Linked DNA regions of Oreochromis niloticus. The protein of the gene in region 2 binds, or shares a complex with, the protein of the main gene of each other region. Links are inferred from orthologs where the notes say so. Each region holds a gene or a part of one and is shown on either strand. Other genes may lie near its edges.

Region 1 (11,313 bases), on a different chromosome or scaffold from region 2:
TATTAGAAAGATGATGGATGAAGGGAAGAACCAGGATTTCCAAACATGCAGCAATTCTGAATGTCATGGGCATTTTTTTCATAGTAGCACAATTAAACCAAAACTCTAGCTGTCAGTTCACCACAAGAAGCAAAGCGAAGTTTAATTTTTAATATAGAATGAGTAACTACATTACAAGCCCATAATAGCATCCTTTCTACTAATACTGGGCAACACCATTAGGCACATTTAACAGTCAAACTCCATATACACCATTCTACAGTGAAGGTTGAACAATATGTTAAACACATTTTTGAGCTGTGGCTCGATTTAAATGACTTTCTGCAGGATTCCCTGATAGATGCGAGCATGATGGGCCCCTTGTTTACAACAGTTCACAGCTACACAAGCATATGAGGCTTTATTCTTTTCAGTCTTTGACCTAGACAAAAACTGAAAACAGGCTCACGCAACTACTGTATGAATGTGTGCACTTCCTGAGGCCTCTGGCATTCACTCACACTTCCATAGAAACTTCTGCTCCATTGAGCAACTGATGCGAACACATTTGGCTGCTGCCTTTTCTATCATGACGTTATCTGGTGGCTCTGTTGTATGCTGTTTTTCACTGAGGTTTCTTTGCTGTAAATATGCATCATTATTTATAAACTTACCGGTGACAATTCCATAGTTGGGAGCCTCGACAATCGCACCGTAAAACTGGATGATGTTGCGGTGGCTGAGGACACTGAGGATTTCAGCCTGACCAGTGAACACAGACACAAGAAGATAAGACCATTTGGAATTTTCATGAGAATAGAAGAGAAAATAGAAGCCTTATTTGCATTAGAGTTTAAATAAATGAAGTCTGGATCTATAATTTAGTACACACATGATGTCAGTGTGTGTGAAGTAATATTTTCTTTTTAAATCACCTTTACCAAAGGTTAATTTAAGTCTCAGGAAATGACAACATTCACACTCTATTCAGCATGTACATACTTAGCAGAATTGCACATACCGTGCATGCACTGAGTACACTTTCCTTATAGCAGATTTACTATGCTACAGATAACTACACTCCTTTAAGAACAAGCTATTTGATTACTATACCTCATGATGAAATACCTTGCAGAACCAACTTTCAGAGCAATAGCTTAAAATAATCACTTTCTGTATGACTTCATCAGTCTTTCATATCACCACACTTCTCGACAAGTCTGCTGTTGAGGTTTGGACTTTGACTTGGACATTGCAACACCTTCATTCTTTCCTTTGCTGTTGTCCTGTTGCATGGCCCAACTTTATTGACGTTTGACTCTAGAATACTTTGGTATTCAGAGAAGTTCAAGATCAACTCAGTGACTTCAAGGTGCTCATTTTCTGTAGCTGCAAACCAAACCTAGAAAATCACCCCTCCCACTACCATGCATGACAGTTGGTATGAGGTGTTCATGCTGATATACGTATGTAACCTTACCAAAACATCTTCTCTGTCAAAAATAGTCCCAGAAGTCTTGCGGTTTGTTCAGATACAACCGTACAAGCCTAAGCTGTGCTACCATGTTCTTTTTAGGCAAAAGAAGGTTTCTCCGGACGATCCTTCCAAAAAGCCATACTTGTTCAGATTTTTTCGAATTATGCTTTCACGAACTTTGAGATTTAACATGCTAACTGTAACTGTAACTGTAAGTCTGAAATGCAGCTCTTGGGTTTTTTGCTTTTTGTCAGAGCATTGCATGATCTGACTTCGGGGTAATTTCACTGGGACATCTGGTCCTGGAAAGATTGTGGCATATCACTGAATGCCCCGAACAAGCAAACTGTGAAAACTTCTAACTTTATAGAGTTGATCATACTTCCTGATGATTATTTTGTTAAGTGCATTTGAAAAACAGCACCTGGCTGCTGTTTACCTCTTAATTCCTATGGAATTAATGCTTTGTTATTCAAAGGACTGCACAGAGTCCTGTGAGAACTTTCTTTTTCACATGACTGTTATTAGCAGCAAGCCAAGTAACCCAAAGTATGAAAGTTAAAATTATGACCTGATAACTGCATAGAATACTTCCTCAAATTGATTATAAAAGCTCCACCACCCTGACCTAGACATGAGTGCTTGTATAAGATCTACTGCAATCCATTTAGAACCCAGTTAACTTAAAGTGGATCATTGAAGGAGTCGCCATTTGTGAATTCACAAAAAAGAATTTAATAAAAAGCAGAAATGAGAACTTGCTGGTTATCCTGATGCCCCAACGGGAAAATTCAAAGCAGACTTTGACTTTTTCAGACTTTTACAGAACTCAGTGGCATGGATCTCACACCCTGACTGGACGCCAATGAGTTTTTCTCAAAGATTCTTCGTCCTATGGAGTCTTCTGGAGCGTATACAAAGACGTATCAATGCATAATCGTGGCCCAGAAAGGTTAATGTGTAACCTTTTTTTTTTTTTTTTTGAATGAACAGAAACCTGATAAAACGATCTAATTTAATCGTAACCAAACACTATAATTAAAGGAACATGTGGTTCAATGTGCAAGGATTACATTATTATTCCCATTGAACAATCATCTCCCCAACACTTGAGTGAAGTTGAATGGATATCTGTGATCTTTTACAATTTCATAAAAGAAACAATGAACAATTTTCTGAACATCGGATCACAGGCCGACACACATAATACGATTTCCCTGAAAAGATTTCAAAGATAATTCTGTTTTGTCTTTAAGACAATGGGCCTGTGCTTTCAAAGAGACTTCAGGAGCAGCCTTTGCTGTAATTGGGCCAAATACATTCTTTCATTTGGCAATAATGTTTCTTTCGCAGCACACTGCTCAGAGAGGGGGAGTATAATGACCATGAGTGATGGGTACAGAAGTCACCAGATCTTGCTAAATGGGATAGCAATTAAAATGATTACTATGCTGACAATTAAAAATATATGAAAAAAAAAAAGATCCAGGTAATTAAGAGTCTTACCTCATTTTCAATCTTGAGCAGTTTTTTCACCGCCACCTCTTTGTCCTGGGAAATCCACTTGGCCCGGTACACACTTCCGAAGCTGCCGCCACCACAGTTTTCGAAGAAGTGGATGTCATCAAACTTGACTTGCACGAAAGACAAGCTGGGAGACATCATCTCATAATGGCACTCAGTTCCAAGTCAGCTCCTAAAAGAGCGAGGGGGATTACAGGAAATGAAGGAAGTCGGGTTCACAACAAAATCCTCTGTGTAAAACAAACTTAATCCATCAAAGCGAAGCTTCACTGTGAGACACCATTTGTGAGTGTGGCTGCAGGTTTGAGGCTGCTTTGCCATTGGTTGATTGAGCATAGCAGGGTGATATCGCTCATTTTAAACTACCATCCCCTGTCTCTTCCTCTTTTACACATACAGTCCTCTTCATCAGTACCAGTAAGCAATGGGCTCAGGGTCCAGACTCTGCTTGTATAAGGACAAAGGCATGTCTGGTATGCTGGGATCATGCAGCTAAAGTCGCAGATTACTCCAGCAGGTTTGGTTCAAGTAGGACAACAAGCTGGGAGATCATACAATTGTGACAATAAAAGCTGCTTTTGTTTCAAGACAAAAACACCTTGAGAGATCCACATATTCTCTTTCTCTATTTAACAAAAAAAAAAGCGCTCTTCTTGCTTGTGTTGAGGCCAAACATGATGATGTGTGTGTAAGCCAGGGTTAGTGGTATAATGCTTCCAAACTGGACACCACACAGATTTATTATCATATCCTTTTGTTTGTCTGTAGCGACATAAAAGCATCTTGTAAAGAAATAATTCCATCATTACAGGAAATTATAGCATTGCTATTGTTCATAGGTTTCCCATTTACAGCTGAGCAATTATGGCTTTTAAAAGGCTGTTACCTGGGTCCTCATTGGGATTACTATCCATCACAACGGGAAATGCCACCATTGTCACAGAGGGGAGCCATTGCTCTCTGCTGATTTACTTGTATTCATGCTATACTTAGCCTGGCAGCAATTTGCTCAGTGGACCAGCCCCCCAAGTATTGTCTGACCACTCAAGAAGCCAGGGTTACAGGGATACGGGAGTACTCCTGCAGTCATTGCTGCCAGGTTCTCCCTTAATAGCAAACACGACTGCAAGCGCCGCAACAATAAGGCCTGACAGCCATATGTCAAACCACAGGTAGTCACTGTAATCTCAACTAAATGATGAATTAATCACTGAGACAGCGAGGTCAGCTTTTGTGTCACATCTTCACAGCTAAAAGTGTGGTTATGTGCAGATGTTACAATCTTAACCAATCTAACCCCTACTCGGTTACTATGCTGTGTATGAGATGCAGATAATACCTGTGTGAGGGTTAAATCACCGCTCAAAACATTCAACAACAACTAGATACAGTATGAGCAAAATTATGAGTAAAGTTAAAGCGGTATTACTTTGTTATTGTTACATGTTTATAGCAGTCTTATATTAATGCAACACGCCACACTCAACAGCCTGCATCAACACATCTGCACGAATCTGTGTTTAATATCAAACAAGACTGGTATTATATTTAATCTGCTGGACAGTGAGCCTATGTCGAAACTGCTCATTGAGACTAATTGGATAACTGGTGAACATTATCGAAACACACATACCGACATTCAGTGTGAAGGCTGGCACTCCGGAGCGGCTCTTCCTCCACGCAGGCAGCACCGGGCACAAGACAAACTTTGTGAAAGAAAGGATAGTTCCGGGAAATCTCACGTGACGTCGCTTGATTTCCCCGATCCAGTGTGGTTTCACTGGTTGCACAACTTTCAGCCTGCTGAACTGGACAGAATCCAGCTGGTGATACTGATGGCAACAGCTCCCCCTGCTGGACACACGCACGAAAGCCTACATGGTGCGTGGTTATTTCTTTTTCATTAACAAGCTCTTACTGGGCAGCTCAGCGGTACACTAAAAACAAAGTAGTTTTAATTAATTTGATTCTGTAAAAAAAATGTTTAAAAATGTATTTTAAAACTGTAATTACTTTTTTAATTCTGTAAAATGTAAATGAAAAATAATGTGATGATCTGAAGTTTCAGAAACTCATATTTTATGCACAATAGAATAACAGAAATCATATAAAATGTTTCTAATTAGAATATTACAATTTTCAGGTAAAAATAAGGCCATTTTTAGGCAGCAACACATTTCAAAAAGGTTTGGACAGGGTCGTGCTTACTAATGCACAGTATGTCCTCTTCGTATAACAATAGCCTATGAACTTAGATGAGTGACGAAACCTTTCTCCCATTGAAAACACTACATCCAGATGATCAGAATCAACCTTTTGGGATTTACTTACCTGGATGATTGAGCATGCATCAAGACAATAGCCTATGAACATCTGAAAAGAGCGATCAGCTGGACTTTTATGAGAGAATGTCCCGTCCTTGCCTTATATAAGATTCTAGCTGCTTAATTGTTCTGGGTCTTCTTTGTCGTGCTTTTCATGTCATCATATGCCAAATGTTTAGAGTTGTAGAAAGGTCTGGTAGGCCAGTTCAGCAACCACACTCTTCTAATATGAAGCCATGCTGTTGTAATAAAAGTGTGTAGTTTAGCATTGTCTCACTGAAATATGGAAGGCTTTCCCTGAAAAAGACATTATCTGGATGAGACCACTCTAAACGCTCTAAAAGGCGTTGACAGTCCAAATCCAATCTCAGAAATGTCTTTGTCAACACCTTGTCAGGTATACACAATTAGCAATTAAACCCAGGCTACACCCAAAGACTTCTGCATTGCCACTGTCAAGAAAGTTAAGGGTTGATGAGGTGTGTGACTTCTAACAGCAACCAGGTTCTGAAATGAAACCTCCTGGTCAGCCTAGGTGGGGCCTTTTTTAATGGGGTTGTCCCTTTGGTTGGGTGGGGTATCTCTGGATGCATCAGTTTCCACCCACAGTCCAAAGACATACATGTTAGGTTAACTGTACAAGAGTGTGTGGTAGCCCTGTGATCGACTGGCAACCTGTCTGTTGCGTAAGATGCCATTTGTGCCATGACAGCTGGGATAAACGGTTAAGAAAATGCATGGATGTTTGTTTTTTAGCTGAGATTCATTCCACTGGGTGATAGTTTAGAAGCATGGCGACAGAAAATTGAGATTTGTCAACTTTCTCCTGATTTTTTGTTTAAGTGGGTTTTTTTGAGGGGTTTGGTTGTTATTATAGGTGAAGACGACTGATAGAAGGCAAAAAGGTGAGCGCAGTGCAAAGCTGTGACTCAGAAATCTGGAAAGTGGAAATTTGCTAGAAATTTGGGGACATTTGTATCCGTGAAGCCCACGAGGTACATTCTACAATTGTTAATATGTGATCTATGCATAATGTTATCTTGGATTAGCTGCAGCATGCAGTTGTTCATCACAGATGTTCTCAGATGTATTTGTAAATGTGCAAAAGCTTAGATCAGTGTGCAGTGTTAAATCTTTTCATTGGATTGTTAGATTTTTTTTTCTCTTTTGGTGATGGCGACATAATAAATTGATATATTCAGATATGCAACAAGATCCTTGACTTGAAATCGAAAAGTCATTCTGTGGATTTCTCTCTATTAAAGACCTATACTCATGTCCCAATCCATCAAAAAACATAATTGCTGTAAGACCTTCATCATTTCAGCAACTCAGGAAGCTTGGTGGGAAATCAATAAGATCACCAACGACTCATTTAATCCATGTAAACTCACGACAATGTGGATTTCTTAATCAATAAGACCACGTAAAGCAAAGGAATCATTCAAATGTACTGTACCATCTATATGAACTAATATAGAAATATATCACTCAAAAACCCTTCAACAGCATTTTTCAGCTTAATAAAGCATTTAAGAATATTGTACAATTTATATAAAACAATTTTTCATTCACTTCAATTTACTTTTGACTCCACAAGAACTAATGTTGCAGGACACCCCCAAGGCCTGGAGTTCGACACCCCTGCTTTAGGAGGAAGAATATGAGTACTTCTTCAATCTCCACTGTGACGTCAGAAACACTGTGAGATATCAGATTCACTGATTCTCTTTTCATCGCATATTAAATCTAGGCAATACATTTCTGCAAACTTAAAAGCTGTCAGTGACTCATTCTTTCCTCATGTAGTGGCGAATGGAAAATATAAAGCAACCATCTGCTTCACTGTTGACACAATTCACAGGTCAACAGTATAAGTCAACAATAAAAATGTTTAATGCACTTCTAGAAATGAATGGAAGTGATGATGATTAATGTTTGATCAGACACGCCAAATCACTCAAAGCTAAACCTGAGATAAGAATTAATTTACATTTAATTCCTTCTTGCTGCCCCAAATATTTTCAGCGTAAACTTTCAGAAGAAATCCTTTATGAAACCAGCTTAACTAAACAAATCTACACTAGAGGTTCAGCAGCACTAATAAACTGCTATTTCTTAAAGCAGAACCTGATTTACAAGATAGAAAGCAGTCTGCCACTCCTCATTTCTTTATATTTTTGTTTTATTTCTTTATACCATTGAAATTAGCTTGAAAGTCACTCTCTGGTATGACCACCTTTATTCTTCAACACAGCCTGAGCTCTCTTAGGTAAACATCTTGTAATTTCTTTAGGTAGTCTTTGGGAATATGGACACTTCTTGACGCCCATTCAAAGCTCTTCTTTGGCTGACTTTTGTTCTGTTCTCCATGTTGCTTCAGTGATGTTGAGGTTCAGGGTCTGGGGAGGCCAATCCATGAGTGATAATACTCCGTTGTTTTGTTATCCGTGTCTCTTTTGGATCTTGTTTTGTTTTTTTACTGCATAGGCCTTTTGGGATGATTGTCATGCTGAAAAATGAAGCCAATCAGAAGTGTCCAGATGGTATTGCATGGTGGATCAAACTCTGATGGTACATTTGTGTTCATATTTCCATTATTTTTGACAAGAGGTCCAACACCACTGGCTGAAATGAAGCTAGAAATTATTGCAGCGCTTCCACCATGTTTTACAAATGGCTGCAGACACTCACAGCACGCACCACTCTCCTGACCTCCTCCATAGTTGGATTCATTACTCCATAAGACTTGTTGCCACAGATTTTTTTCAGTACGATTCTTCTGTAATTTGGCATACTCAGCCTTTTCTCCATGTTTCACTTTCTTAAGAATGACTCCTTGACAGCCACCTTTCCACTGAGATCATTTCTAATGAGGCTTTAATGAGCAGCCATAGTTCTCCAGGCATGTTGATGGAACAGCTGAAGAGCCAGATGCATGTCTCAGGTCCTGTCAGGTCTTTTTTCTTTTTTTCCCCTTGTTTCTTAAGGTCATGACTTTCAAATACTATAGATAGTTTGTGGGTCTCCCACTTCTTTAGTCCTAATCCATTTTCCTCAATATTTTTTTACATAGCATGTCAAGATAAGTTTTTAGCTAACAGCTGTTTGAGAATCACCTCGTTGGTGCAAAAACACAATTTTGTTTTTCAGACTGTGCTATGTTTATTATTTTTGTAGGTCCAACAGATTGATTTGGGAACAAGTTTTGTGGCAGGCTGCTAGTAACAAAGTTCCTAAAGATACAACTTAAAAATTGTTCGTTGCTTATTTGTCTGTTATGTAGATACAACGGTGATTCATCCCTTGACTTATGCTTGAATGAGTTTTATGCTTAAATGATTCATAGGCTAGTGTCAAGTAGAGGTGGCAAAATTACAGACATTCGTACTTAAGTAGAAGTACAGACATTTTTGTTAAAAAAAATACTAGTTAAAAGTATTGATTTCACTTCTTTACTCAAGTAAAAGTGGAAAAAGTACTGGCTTTGAAATGTATTCTAAGTAAGGATGTAAAAAGTAGCTTTTTAGAGGACATTTCTATCAGCTACTTTTGTGCAAAGCGAACAGAACGTTGTGCTATATTAATAGAATAAAATTATATTAATGCATGGGAATCCAAATTTTATTTCACTCTAAATTTTACTTCTAATGAATTGAATCACTTATGTAGAACATGAGCGGAGAAAAAGAAGGAGAATCTTTAAAAAATAGTTGCCTACATTGTAGAGGGTGACTTTGCTTCCACATCGAAACAGGAAAATGAGTACAGTCGGGATGATAATCGGGATGAAAATAATCACAGCTCACAGTCTTTTCTATTGTGTGTTCCAGTAGATTTTCATAATGTACATACTGTGATCAGCTGACCTGTTCTGCTGCTGTTGCTGCTGCTGCTGCTCTGAGGTTTAGTGCTCTAATTCAATAAGATGTAAGCAAATGTTTCATGAGTTGTCTTGGTTGATTTCCATCTTATACACTGACAGTATACTGTTCAAACTGTCTTTATAAAGTAATAAATATAAAGTTGAACAAATACATCTAAAAGTTTTTATTATTTAGAGCGCACAAAAAGGTTTTCAGACACTTATGATATCTCAGGCTTTAAAGAGAAATGTGCTCACATGAATAAAAAGTAAAACAATCATAATCCTCTGCATGCTTGTCAAAATAAATATCTGTATACAATTTACAACACAAGAGTCTTAAAAACTTAAATATGTATAAATATTGTCTGATACAAAATATACGAAACAACTGAATATCAGGAATATTGAGACCTGTAAGCGTCAGCATCATATAGCGTTTACATCTAAAATCTTACACAGTTTGTTGTGATATCTGCACGACAATGATACGAGGAGGTACGTCACCTGCCAACAATTACTGCTAAAATATCACAAATTACTGTAAGAAAAAGCTTAACAAGGCAGGCTTCTGAAACAATATCTCATTTTCTGATACAACATCGGGTCCTCAATCCTGTACTAAGTAAACTCATCCCAAGCGAGCGCACATCACGTCATGGAGTAGCGTCTTCGTGTAATGTTTCTGTCCCTGAGTGGATTTCAAGACCTGCGGGGCTCAAGTCCATGAGAGAGCTGAGTAAGCATCCTTTGGTTATCGATCACGTTAAGCTGACGAATATAAGTCCAGACGTCAGGGTGGTTCTTGCTTGGCAGTGGTGACTCTGGACCTGATTTCATTGAAAAGATGGGCAGTGTCAGGAAAAAAATGCAAGAAAAATTTGTAAGTTCATCATATAGCAAAATCAGGCAGGAACCTAAAATATTTGTGCTTTTTTTAAAAAAATATTTCTGCTGATTGAGTTCATCTAAGCTGTATGGGCAATCAATATGAAGGGATTAATGGGAAACAGCTGGATAAATGATCAAATATAGATGTTAAAGGTTCAGAGATACCAATATTATACTCCAATTAAACTTCAAAAGATCAATATCACAGCTTGCTGTCAGTCAGTCAAAATGGATACTTTTCTCAACTCATTGTGAGAATATTATTTTTTATTTTGGAAATAAGAAATTAAAATTATGGGAAGCTAGTTGCATTGTCAGAATTTCTCCCAATGTGCTTTCTTGGAGCATGGCCTCTTCTATTAGCTCTATTCCAGCTTACAGGTTTATTCTAAGATGTATCTAATAGACATCAAATTAACAGGACATAAAGTCTTTTATTGTTGTTTCTTCATCATACAGTTTTTTGATATTGTGCTTCCAAGATATATTTTGTTTATTTATTTTTTTATGTTTAATTTTATCAAGTGTCCTTTTGTTGTACAGTGGTCCCTCGTTTATCGCGGGAGTTACGTTCCAAAAATAACCCGCGATAGGTGAAATCTGCCAAGTAACTTTATTTTTTACAATTATTATAGATGTTTTAAGGCTGTAAAACCCCTGACTACACACTTTATACACTTTTCTCAGACAGGCATGAACATTTTCACACTTTTCTCTGTTGTTTAAACAATCTCAAAGTTCAAACCTTCTTGGAAAAATAAGTCATTAAAGAATAAAACCAAAGGCACCCCCAGGTTCCTTTGACAGTGCAAAACGTTTCATCGACATTGTTATGTTTGTTGGGGAGAAAACTTACAAACATACAGTACAGCACATCAGAGTCACACTTCTAGCGATTGAACATTTATGTAAATTTGACAAGCTGAACGCATTCTGTACTGTACAGGAGACACGGCACGAGATTGACTGACAATGGTCTACAGCCAATCAGGACGCTGTAAGAAAAAAAATAAATAAATAAAAAAAAAATGGAAAATTGCACCCAAGAAAATCTGAGAAACAGCGAGGCCACGAAAGGTGAACCGCGTTATAGCAAGGGACCACTGTATTAAGTGTGACATCTGTGAAATTAGTACATTTAAAAAACAACAACAACAACAACTTACTGAATCTCTGGCTTCTACAGTATCTCACTATTTTCACCGTGTTAGCTATCATCCGCTGCAAGACAAAAAGCAATGATCAGCAACAAA
Region 2 (10,691 bases):
CCTATTGCCCCATAACCTGGAAATGCAAAGAAATACTGTAAATGAAAATTCATCAACAATGAAACATGAAATTTTATGGGAAACACTTACCCTAAGTACGCCAAGGTTTGATTGGCTTTCAGTCCCTCTGCCAGCTGCTTTGCTCCTTCTGCTGTTATGTTATTGTTGCCTAGCCTTGAAGAGAAGAAGGTTATTTGTTAATCTTTTGGTCATTGGTAAAATCCAACAGTAGAGTCACATTTGATGACAAACGCTGACCTTAAAGAAATGAAGACCTGCTTGGTCTTCAATAAATAAGAAAAATCCTGCATGCAAGCATCAGTTAATTTGTTGTTGAAGAGCCTGGAAAGAAACAAAAAGATTTTGAAAATTAACTGATAAAATTTTATTTAACTTGCAGTATTAATCACCTTGATAATACATACGCAATTTTCTGAAAGCTGTCACACTGGATGACTTTAGCAATCAGTTTGCGGATGCCCTCATCTGTAATGTTGTTATTTCTGAGGCTAAGGAAGGAACAATATGCATTTCAGAATAAAAGTTGTTCCTCTCTTACAGTGAAAGCAGTTAGGGAGAGTTTGTTCACTCTAATGAATTGGCGTTCAATCTATTAACCAAGGAAATTTAACAAAAGAAAAATGTATAATTTCCACTTACTAAAGGGAATTGCAAATGTGCATGCAGGGAAGAAGCTGTTCCACTCCAACATCACCCACAGAGTTGTTGTCCAGCTGGAGGCCTACAGGATTTCTTAAGTGCTGGAGCACATAAGCAAGCGCCGTGCACTCTACAGGTCCGATATTACAGTATGTCAATTTCAAATGGTCCACCTCCAGCTTGCTCATAGCATCTTTAGCTATCCGACTCTCCTGCATCTCATAGAGGCATTTTATAAGCCACACAAAGTCCGGCATTGCATGCATGCTCTTCTTTTCCCCTTGTACAGGTTGGGGAATGGACCTAAAGTGTTTCTGAATGCCTTTGGAAAGGCATCTTGCCACCTGTCTGGCCTTTTTCTCCACTGCAGCACTGGGGCAGCAGTGGAGCCACAGATTTTGATGGCGCTGGGACAATAGTCCAGACACAAACATGGCTGTGATTTGCAGATTTGGTGTCTCTGCTGCTTTACTTTCCTTCTCTGAAGCTTGCTGTTGTTGATCACTGGAAGGCAAGCAGGCTGTAAAGCAGACACGTGTCAGACCTGTCTCCCTGTTCTCTAGCTCAAAGAGTTTTGGGATAACTGAACGGTTAGTGTTACTTGACAAAACAATGAAGAGAGCAGCAAAGAAACATTGCAATGTCACATGACTGAATTCATAGCATTTGGAGTGAGTAGAGGACATATCTTTGCTTTTTATCAGAAAAACCATGCAGATATCCTTTTCAGTTACACCGCATGCTTCTAGGTCTGTACCTGAAAAAATATAACAGGTGGATGTTATCCCCTCAAAAGCAAGCTGTCCAAGAAGAAGGACTGTTTTTAGGTGCTCCTGTAGCCAGCCTAAACCCATGGTGCTCTTCAGAGGACTTTGGTGCTGGAGAAAGTGCTGTAAGATCATCAGGTAAACATCTGTAATTGTTTTGGGGCTGCCTTCTCCACAGCCCAGCAGCTCCTTATGGCACTGTGAAACTATCCAGCAGAGAACTGGACTGTGACATAGTCCAAGTAAAGCTGTGTTCGCCTGCATTGACTCTAAAACCTTAGCAGCTACAGTAGGGTCCCTGTGATGTTTCCGTACAAAACTGTCAATCCCAGTTGGGGAAAACCCTTTCAGGACAACCTCTTTGCGTAGGTGCTTCTTTAACAATGGGCTCACTGCTTCTGAACGGCTAGTGACCACTTTCTGCACCCCCTTCATGAGGGAACCCTGGATTAAGTTGAACAATAATACATGAACAGGTGCACGCTGGGTGGGGCAGCAAACTCTGTGCTCATCTGTAAAGCTCTGCTTGAGCTCATCCAGGCCATCAAAAGTGAACAGGATTTGATGTGGGTGGTCCAAGATGAACTGGAAAATTTCTTCTTGGTTCCGGTCTGGCCAGCAGCAGTGCTGAAACAACAACTCCTGGACTGACAGTTCATTGTGCTCTGAATTCAACCTGCGACAGCTGAATGGAAATAGAAGGAGAAAGTCTTGAAGGGCTACCCCTCGAGCCCAAAGCAAGTGCAGCCTCTGGAGAAGGGTGCTTTTTCCACTGCCTGCCTCCCCGGATACTAGCACTGTGTCTGCCTCCTCATTCACTATACCCACCAAACCAACGATGTCTTCCAATCCCAAAGGTCCATGGGCATTAACTTCGGCTAGTTCCAGCTGGCCATCAGTGTAAATGTCATCGAGAGACATATGGCTAGTTCCCGCATAAGTACTGAGAAAGCAGGCTTGAGCAGACACAGAACTGCTCAGCTTCTTCTGGTACTTTAAAAACTCTGTGAAAGAAAAATTTGTGAAGAAAAGATGGAATGAGTGAACCAGTCATCATTTCATACATCCTGTATATCTTTGGTCAAATCTGGAACATGCATAACTGATCTTGGCATGCCTGCCAATTTTGTATTTTCAAAGCATAACCAGAAACCTTCTGTATTTGGGGCATTTTTCCTATGAGGGTGATCAAGGATAGCTTTACTCATAAAAACGATATATATTTCTGCGATTTTAAACATTGCTTTTGACAGTAACAGACCTTTGGGAGGAGTCAGTTCCCTCTGGTTAAGTGGCAATCCAGGTTCTTGTTTTTGATGAATGTACTGCAGGAGAACCGATGCTGCTAAATCACCTCTGGATCTGACATGGTCAAGCAGACGCCTTGCCTGATTGATCACATGGACATGGATGAAAATAATAAAAAGTTTATTTTTGACAGTTATTTGGATTGTTGCGGAGTTAGATAAAAGACCAACTTACATATTCATAATCTAATAATGCAACAGCAGAAAGAGCTTTACCTTGCTTAGCTTAGCACAAAGACAGGCAGCAAGTGGTAAAAACCTTGCCTGGATCTATACAAAGGCAGCAAGATATGTTTACCAGTTTTCTTTGTATTATTTTATATTACTTGTATAATTACTCAGGAATATCAGAATAGTATCAGATCTATTTAAAGTAATAGTATTGACTGATAAAGTAACACAAAAAGTAACAAAAATACCCCAGCACGTCTGCCTGTATGACATCTAAGTATCAGGAATGCAGAAATAATGACAAGCTTCATTCCAAGACAGTTTAAAGGTAAAGAACAACTGTATAAAGTTGTCAAACCACATTTTAACAATGTGACGTTCAGGTGCTTACAGTACCTGTTGGGTGGGAGTATATATAGGTAACCGCACTTCATCACAATCAGCTGAAGAAAAGTGACCTGAATCCAGCAGAGCTGCTAGAACACCATCAACACAGCCCTGAAGCTTGTGGACAAGGCTTGGTCGTTGAGCCAGAAGAGTTTGATTAGAAGTGCTCTGACATTCATCGTTTTCTTGTAGATTTGAGCAGGATTCAGAGAAGGAGAGCCCCACTGCCTGTGCTTCAGGCAAGGCCAGTTTGAGAGCAGCTAGAAAGAGCCCACATGTGTCCACACCCTTTGTATAGACCAGATCAAGCAGCTGTCTTGCATTGGTATATAGTGTTCTTCCTGGTACCTGTATGTTCTGGTAGTCCTCCCATATGAGCGCCCCCTTGGCAAGCAGTATATCCAGAACTCTCTCCAGATGTTCTGCTGACCCACTGCTGCACAGTGCATGCAGTATCTTCGTCCTTTGTTTAAGCACTAGTTCCTCGGCAAGCATTCTTTGTCCATATCAGTGCCCATGCTCAGGGACATTCAGTTTGTGGTTACTTCTGCTTCTTGTGGTGTGAAAACCTGTCACAGCAAATGGCCAAATGTCATCATGTTACTATGGGCCAACTAGAGCTTCCTTCTTTCTTTTCTAACTCTGTTTTGAATACCATACAGCAGTACATGTCATTTTGTGCGTCTTTCTGTTAAGCCATAACAAAAAGTTAAAACAGAATGAAAAGAATATATGGCTACCATTACATACACATCAAATGTGTTGCAGGTCCCTTTAAAACATGTACAAGTACAGAATAGTCGACTACGCGACCTCAATTGCAGACGCAAGTAACACAAAATAAAACCACAAAAAAGAACACTTACATTTAATGGGAACATGGCTTTCTTTCCTCCCTCTGTCATACGAACAGAGCCGCTGTAGAATTATAGGGTCCTACCGCTTCCCTGTTCTGCAGCTGAAAGTGAAACTTGCTCTGCTTCCAAGTCCCTCCCATAATATGGAAACTAAATACAGGCGGAGATGTGGCATAGACGCAATGCTCAACTTCCCTGGTGTTTTCCAAACAGAGCAAACAATGGTGACTTGATATTTAAGGGTGGTTAAATATAGCTTGCCACACTCAAGCGCTTATATTTCACTGAGACTTCCACATCCTCTTGTCTTGTTTGCAAGATACTGCATACTTCAGACCACAAAGAGGAACTGCAGCTTTTAAAAATGCAGAAGGTTGAATAGAAAGGGTAATTTTGGGTGGGTTTTTTTTCTTTCTTTTTTTAAAGAAAGTGACGGAAACTTTTACGGGTCCTAGGTATTTCCATCCTCGTCGCAGTTTGGTGTTGTAACCACTTGATGGAACTATTGCATAAGAAAACAACATGGTGTCGGCAGAGATTTTCCACTTTTAACAGTTTCTTTTAGTATCACTAAAGCTGTCTTCTTCGAATCAATTCAATCAGAGCTCTAACTGTGTCTGTGGGCACAAGATACTGCGGTTTAATTAGAAATCAAGCAGAAAACCCCAGCAGATTCATAAAGAGGTTGTAGGGAATCATTTTGCTACGGTATCAGTTTTACAATGTTAGAACAGAAACTGAGAACCTGCAGTCTAGGCGTCATGCTGTGCATCTGATCTAAACTTCAAAAAAACCCAACCCTAAAACCGCACATAATGCTCCTTACTCCCTCTGCATTCTTTGAAGCTGAGATAAAATAGGTGCGAGAGTGGCTTTTCGGGCAGTCATATATTTATCATTTTCATTATTACAGCTCCCTCCTGAGTAACATGATTAGCTTATTGTGTGTGTTCGCTGTGCCCTGTTCGAGAAAATCCTCAAACACTCAAGGGCAGGAGTAATCAAAGACAAACTGGAGTAAAACTTTCAAACGGGAGTTTCTCTTCTTCTTTTTCTTGTTCTTCTTGTCTGAAAACAGGCAACTCCACCAAGGGGAGTGTAATGCAGAGTGCTCTCTGTCAGGCATCTTACTTGAAGCTTTAAGGTGGAGTTCTGTTATCCAAATCACAGCAGGGGGTCGAGAGAAGTTTCAACACATAAGAAAAAGGGTAAAAAAAATGTCGAAAATAAAAAAATAAAATACACACACGGTCCCAAAAGACATAGCTGTATTTCTGTGCTCTGTTTGGAGACAGTTCCAAACACTTTTTTTATTGCAGGAAAAATATGTAACTCCACTTCATTTGTTTGGGCTATATAATATTCTTCATTATTATTATTATTTTTATATTATTAGGAACAGTTTTGTTGCTCAATCACTTTAAAGACAACTCTATATATATAAAAAAAAATCTCCTTGGGCAGTCTTTATCCTTCGAGCACAGGTCCTCTACCAGAGGCCTGGGAGCTTGATGGTCCTGCGCAGTATCATAGCTGTTCCTGGGACTGCGCTCTTCTGGACAGAGATGTTGTTCCTGGGATCTGCTGGAGCCACTCACCTAGCTTGGTGGTCATGCCACCAAATGCTGGGATTGCCACTAAGACTACTGTTGCCTTCATCCTCCACATCTTCTTGAGTTCTTCTCTTAGCACTTGGTACTTCTTCAGCTTCACATGTTCTTTCTTCCTGATGTCGCTATCATTCAGTATAGCTACATCTATCACTCTGGCTGTCTTCCTCTGTATGTGTGTGTGTGTGTGTTTGTGTATGTTATTTATTTATTTATTTTTCATGACAAGCCTGAAATCGCAAATTACATCAAATTACCCTTGAACCACAGGATCTAATCCCTATCTTGGACTTTATTGGACATGAATGTTAAGTCTTGATCCACCCAGCACTAAATAACCTCATCCAGTAAATCAGCTTTAAACTGTATGTCTATGAGTAAGAGTGCAGCTCAGGGCTGGATCCTTCTCACTCTCGTAACAGAGATGGAATACTTTGGCTGCAGCCATTTTATCACTGTGCATTCTTTCTGTGCAGATATCAAAAGCACATGTTGTGAGCTCAGTGTTAAGCCAGGTGCACTGATGGGCTGTTTGTGTACTGATTGCTTTACCAGAGATTCAGAACTCCCAGAAGCAAGCCGTCATGTCTCATTTTAGTGTAGTCTTACAGTTACACAAAGTGTGCTTGTTTTTAGAACATATGTAGTGAACTTTGAAAGAACTATATTGCAAAAAAAAAATAACATAACATGATATGACAAAATCAAACAGTCAAATAATCAGAAGCTGTAATTGATCACTGTCAGGGAAATTCGGTACAATGACACCACAAACATGAGCACACCGATTTGCATTATTGTTAAAAACTACATGTATTGACTTAAATTCAATCAGCTAACAGTTTATGTGTTTGTATCAGATAGTGCTTCCTTAGCAGGTTAGTAAAATTATAGTGGCACTTTGTCAAAAAGACTTTGAAAAACAGTCATATCTCTTTTATAATTAAAATTTGAATAGTTGTTTCAGAGATCAGTTCCCATAACTCCTAAGCATAATAGGAAACATAAATAAGATGGAATATTAGAGATGTTTTAATAAAAATACAGAGAACTCCAAACCAGTGATGCAAAAAAAAGCATTCTTCCCAGTATGCTTGTTTACACAAGCAGTAAAACCTTTATTTTAACAGGTTGCAAACTAAAAAAACAAGGCAGCCATATTATCTGTGGTATTGCAGGTTAAAAAGCTGAGTGTATGGTATATTGACATGCTGTAATATTGCTTTCCACTGAGAGAATGGCTGAGTGAATTACCTCATTCAGTTTATAAAGTTAAAGTTGGAGGACAACTACTGCAGCATGCATGGATATAAGACAAAAAATGCCTTTTATATTGGAAGGATTTATGTATAATTAGAAATAGCCTCTTCAAGCCAGAAAGACAAGTATTCAGCAGAGGAAGTGGATGGCGTCGCTTTCAGAGCTGACTGGTTAAAAGGAGCATGTGTCCATGATGATGTGTGTATGGGTGTGTGTGTCAATCAGGATTTAATTGACAGGAAGATTAAAGCTCACATCTGAGAGCTCCCTTTTTGCAGGAGCAGCCAAGTTGAAGGAGTCTGGTCTCCGGCATCTGCCCGAGGTTTAGGGTGCTGCGCTCAAGGTTAGCGCAAGCACCCTGCTGAGTGTGCGCTGTCTGAGATGGGTCCTACTTGTTGGACATTCATTATCAAACTCTGTTTGCGCCTTTCATCTGCAGCTCTCTGCAGCACTCAACGTAAACTACAGAGGCACCTTGCAGCTTGACACCTCTCCATTCAGTCTGTACCTTAAACAGCATGCTGCCACATCAAAGAGCTGCGTCTGCCTTTGATGTTGCAAAAAGAAAGAGCTCCAATGATCTACTAAAAACCAATGCAACTTTCTGGAGCCTTGTTTTATTCATTTGCTATCTCGAGAAGTCTGGAGTCAGCCTCTGGAAGTCCAGACAGCAGATTTGGACTTTGAAAAAGTTGGACAGTGCAATTTGCAGAATGTACTGAAAAGGAACACGCTGCTGCCTTTTATGTTGTTGTGGCGGGGTTTATATCTTATGGTGAGCTATTTAATTCATAAGTTAAAGCTGATAAAGACTGAGTTTGGATATAAATGTATGTAAAATGGCCAAACTTTGCTCTCTGCGTTATTACATCAGTTCATGCAGTGAAACTGCAAAGATCAGGCTACATATCCATATCCTGGATCCTCTTCCTAAATTAAACCTCTCATGCATACTATAGATTCCTGTAGATGCAAAACAATCTATTTTAGCTTTTCAAAAATGGACTCACTGTATAGCCTCACAATCTCTTTTACCTTGCAAAGGAAAAATAAAGGATGTATTGTTCTTTACTTACCATTCATTTGACCAAGTTTTAAAAAAACATAGGGATCAGAATATACAAGACATAATTAAACTGTGATCCTTGTTTGTTGATGTTTTATTTTTTTTTATACCCAATACTAAATAACATAATAGTAACTTAATAAACAGATTGTGTTTGCTTAAAATGCTCACATTGTTCTGGAGGTATGATATATAAGAAGTGGAAAATATTGGACTAGTGGAAAAATAACTTTCAGTCCTATATACGAGCCACCACAGCACCAGAGCTAAACAAAGTCATTGCCATCTTAGTAATTATAGGGTGAATTAAATCCTTCTAATTATGATTTCATCAGCTATAACAAAGGAATTGTCCAAAATGAAAAGTGGCATTTAATGAAAATGAGTTCTGGGTCAGTCACACTGAACTTTAACACTTTGTCAGCTTGTTTCCTAATTGAATGAACTTGACAATAATTGAAGTGTTTTATTTTTGCCCTTCTTTAGACACATAAAAGACTGCCATGCCAATTAGCTTTAATTCTCTATTTCCCCTTTTTCTTTTCATGCTCTTGAGGAGGCTGGGACCGGCATATTCCGATCATTTGCATTATCCAAAGCAAATCTGCTTTGAAGTTCTGAGATTCTGTAAGAAAAAGGATCCACTTATCCCACATGAAAAAATGTTCAAAGCTCATAAATTCACTGGAACAGATGTACATTATCATTGGATTTGCCTTTTCCCCCCTCTTTGCTCCTTTATTGGTAATAGACTACCTCATGTCCTTCTCATCCTTTAGCGTTTAGCATCTTCCCTTTACAGAAGCTAGCACCCTGCTGTGCCAATCCACACTTCAAAGCTTTTTGCCTATCTGCTGGAAACAAAGCACAGAGGACATATTATGGCAGCCTCTCATTTCCCCATATTTAAGTCAATATCATTGCGTCTTGCCAGTGGTATCACAGAGACGGGGTTTATTTCTATCCAAAAAGACCATTCCTTGTAACCCATGTCTCCCAACAACTCAAATATAACACAGTACACATTCACAGCAGCTGTTTATCCTATTATAGTCCCAGCTAATGTGGATTTTTTTTCCATGACAATCACCAGACTCTTCATAGCCTTAAATATGGAATAACCACACACATGGTTATTATCTCAGTAATGACATTAAACTAAACATAAAAAATAATCAAGGTTTAGAAAAGTCACTGTGTCACTATTAGGAAGTATACTCTACTGTGCTGAGCTCCTCACCTTTAATTACACTAAGCAACTGTCACTTTGAATAATATCCTCTTAGCCAACAGCACACTTAAATACCTCTATGATGTGCAGTGCTGAGAGAGTGCAGCTCTTTATTTTCTTCTGTAAGCTGCTTTTCTTGGTAATTGTTAACTGTAATTGCTGTTAGTAGAGTGTATGTATAACTGACACTGTGCCACATGCTCAGACTTTCTATATATGGTGTAAACCAGAAGCTGACCTTCCATCCATCAGTACCTCTACATCACTTGCACGTATTTATATCGACTATTTATATTAACTGGACTTTAAACTCATATCAGCACACGAGTTTGCACAGCATATGGCAAGTCAGATCTTTCTCATTCAAGGATAGAGAAGACCTGATTGTAACTGTAGCAATTAATAAAATGCTACTACTATTACTATTAACAATAATAATAATAATAACTGATTTATAACATTATGGTTTCACAGCACAAAAAAAACTTTTCAGGTGGATGAAAATGTAATGAATCTGGTTGTTAGACTTTCCTATCCTTTACTGTAATTTATCTTAATTTACCCAACAGCCAGACTTTTTGAAGCACCTCATAAGCTCAGCAGTTACTCATCCAAAAAAGGACAACTAGAGTTCATTACAACTTGCCAATTAGTATTAATGGAAATCAATACTGATATCGCCTGACACCTTGCATAATTTTTGCTATGACTGCTTGCAGACAATAACAAGTTGCTAGTTGTTTAAAAAAAACTGTTAGCAAACTAGACATCTGGATTGCATCTCACAATGAAAAAAATCTTATATTTCCTATTGTCATATGACACAAAGCCCATATCGGCCAAGCTAAGAATAATGATATAATCATATCTGTTTCAAGTATGGCTTTTTTTGGAAGTCACATGATAGTAGTCCAGCACATGTGAGTGAATCCAAAGCCTTTTTTTAACAGCAGGGCAATTATTGCGCTCAACAGAAGAAGCAAGAGTTTCATAAAAAGCACAGTGGGCAGCACTGTAAAATGAAAAAAAATAATGTCCGTCTGTATTAACGAGCTTATAAATAAAGAAAGAAAGAAAAAGAAAAAGAACTGCAAAAGAACAAAGGTGGCAAATGTAAGACCACATATTTATTTTGCTTGGCTGGATGATAAATCAGTTGAAGAAGAACAATGAGAGCGCAATAAAAAGGGGAAGTCATTGCATGTGGAAAAGCATATCTAGATCTGCTTGTCAACTAAAAATGAGCTGAGAAATGGTGATAGCCCTCACTGCAATGACACTGCAATTTCAAGTTTTAACAACCTTCATTTGTTGTATTTTTATATACTTGGACAGATGGTGGTGCTTTTTTTGGGGGGGGGGTTCTTTGAAAATG

What was found. Proteins that work in one complex are often made in the same cells at the same time.
Region 1: nod2 (region 2) and map3k20a share a complex: the UniProt entries of both Homo sapiens proteins name them as parts of the signaling complex. The link is inferred for Oreochromis niloticus from reciprocal best matches to the Homo sapiens genes NOD2 and MAP3K20.

What each region holds. Positions count from the first base shown.
Region 1 is NC_031987.2:16,485,079-16,496,391, reverse strand, and holds the start of map3k20a (mitogen-activated protein kinase kinase kinase 20), read right to left. Parts: upstream 4,851-11,313; 5' UTR 4,614-4,850; intron 3,153-4,613; 5' UTR 3,122-3,152; coding exon 2,963-3,121; intron 742-2,962; coding exon 654-741; intron 1-653. Other genes in the region: rapgef4a (rap guanine nucleotide exchange factor 4), read right to left, coding at 9,872-9,999, 11,227-11,281. UniProt on the Homo sapiens protein: Stress-activated component of a protein kinase signal transduction cascade that promotes programmed cell death in response to various stress, such as ribosomal stress, osmotic shock and ionizing radiation.
Region 2 is NC_031965.2:31,483,284-31,493,974, forward strand, and holds the start of nod2 (nucleotide-binding oligomerization domain-containing protein 2), read right to left. Parts: upstream 4,418-10,691; 5' UTR 4,159-4,417; intron 3,862-4,158; 5' UTR 3,788-3,861; coding exon 3,302-3,787; intron 2,816-3,301; coding exon 2,689-2,815; intron 2,432-2,688; coding exon 661-2,431; intron 510-660; coding exon 426-509; intron 343-425; coding exon 259-342; intron 175-258; coding exon 91-174; intron 17-90; coding exon 1-16. UniProt on the Homo sapiens protein: Pattern recognition receptor (PRR) that detects bacterial peptidoglycan fragments and other danger signals and plays an important role in gastrointestinal immunity.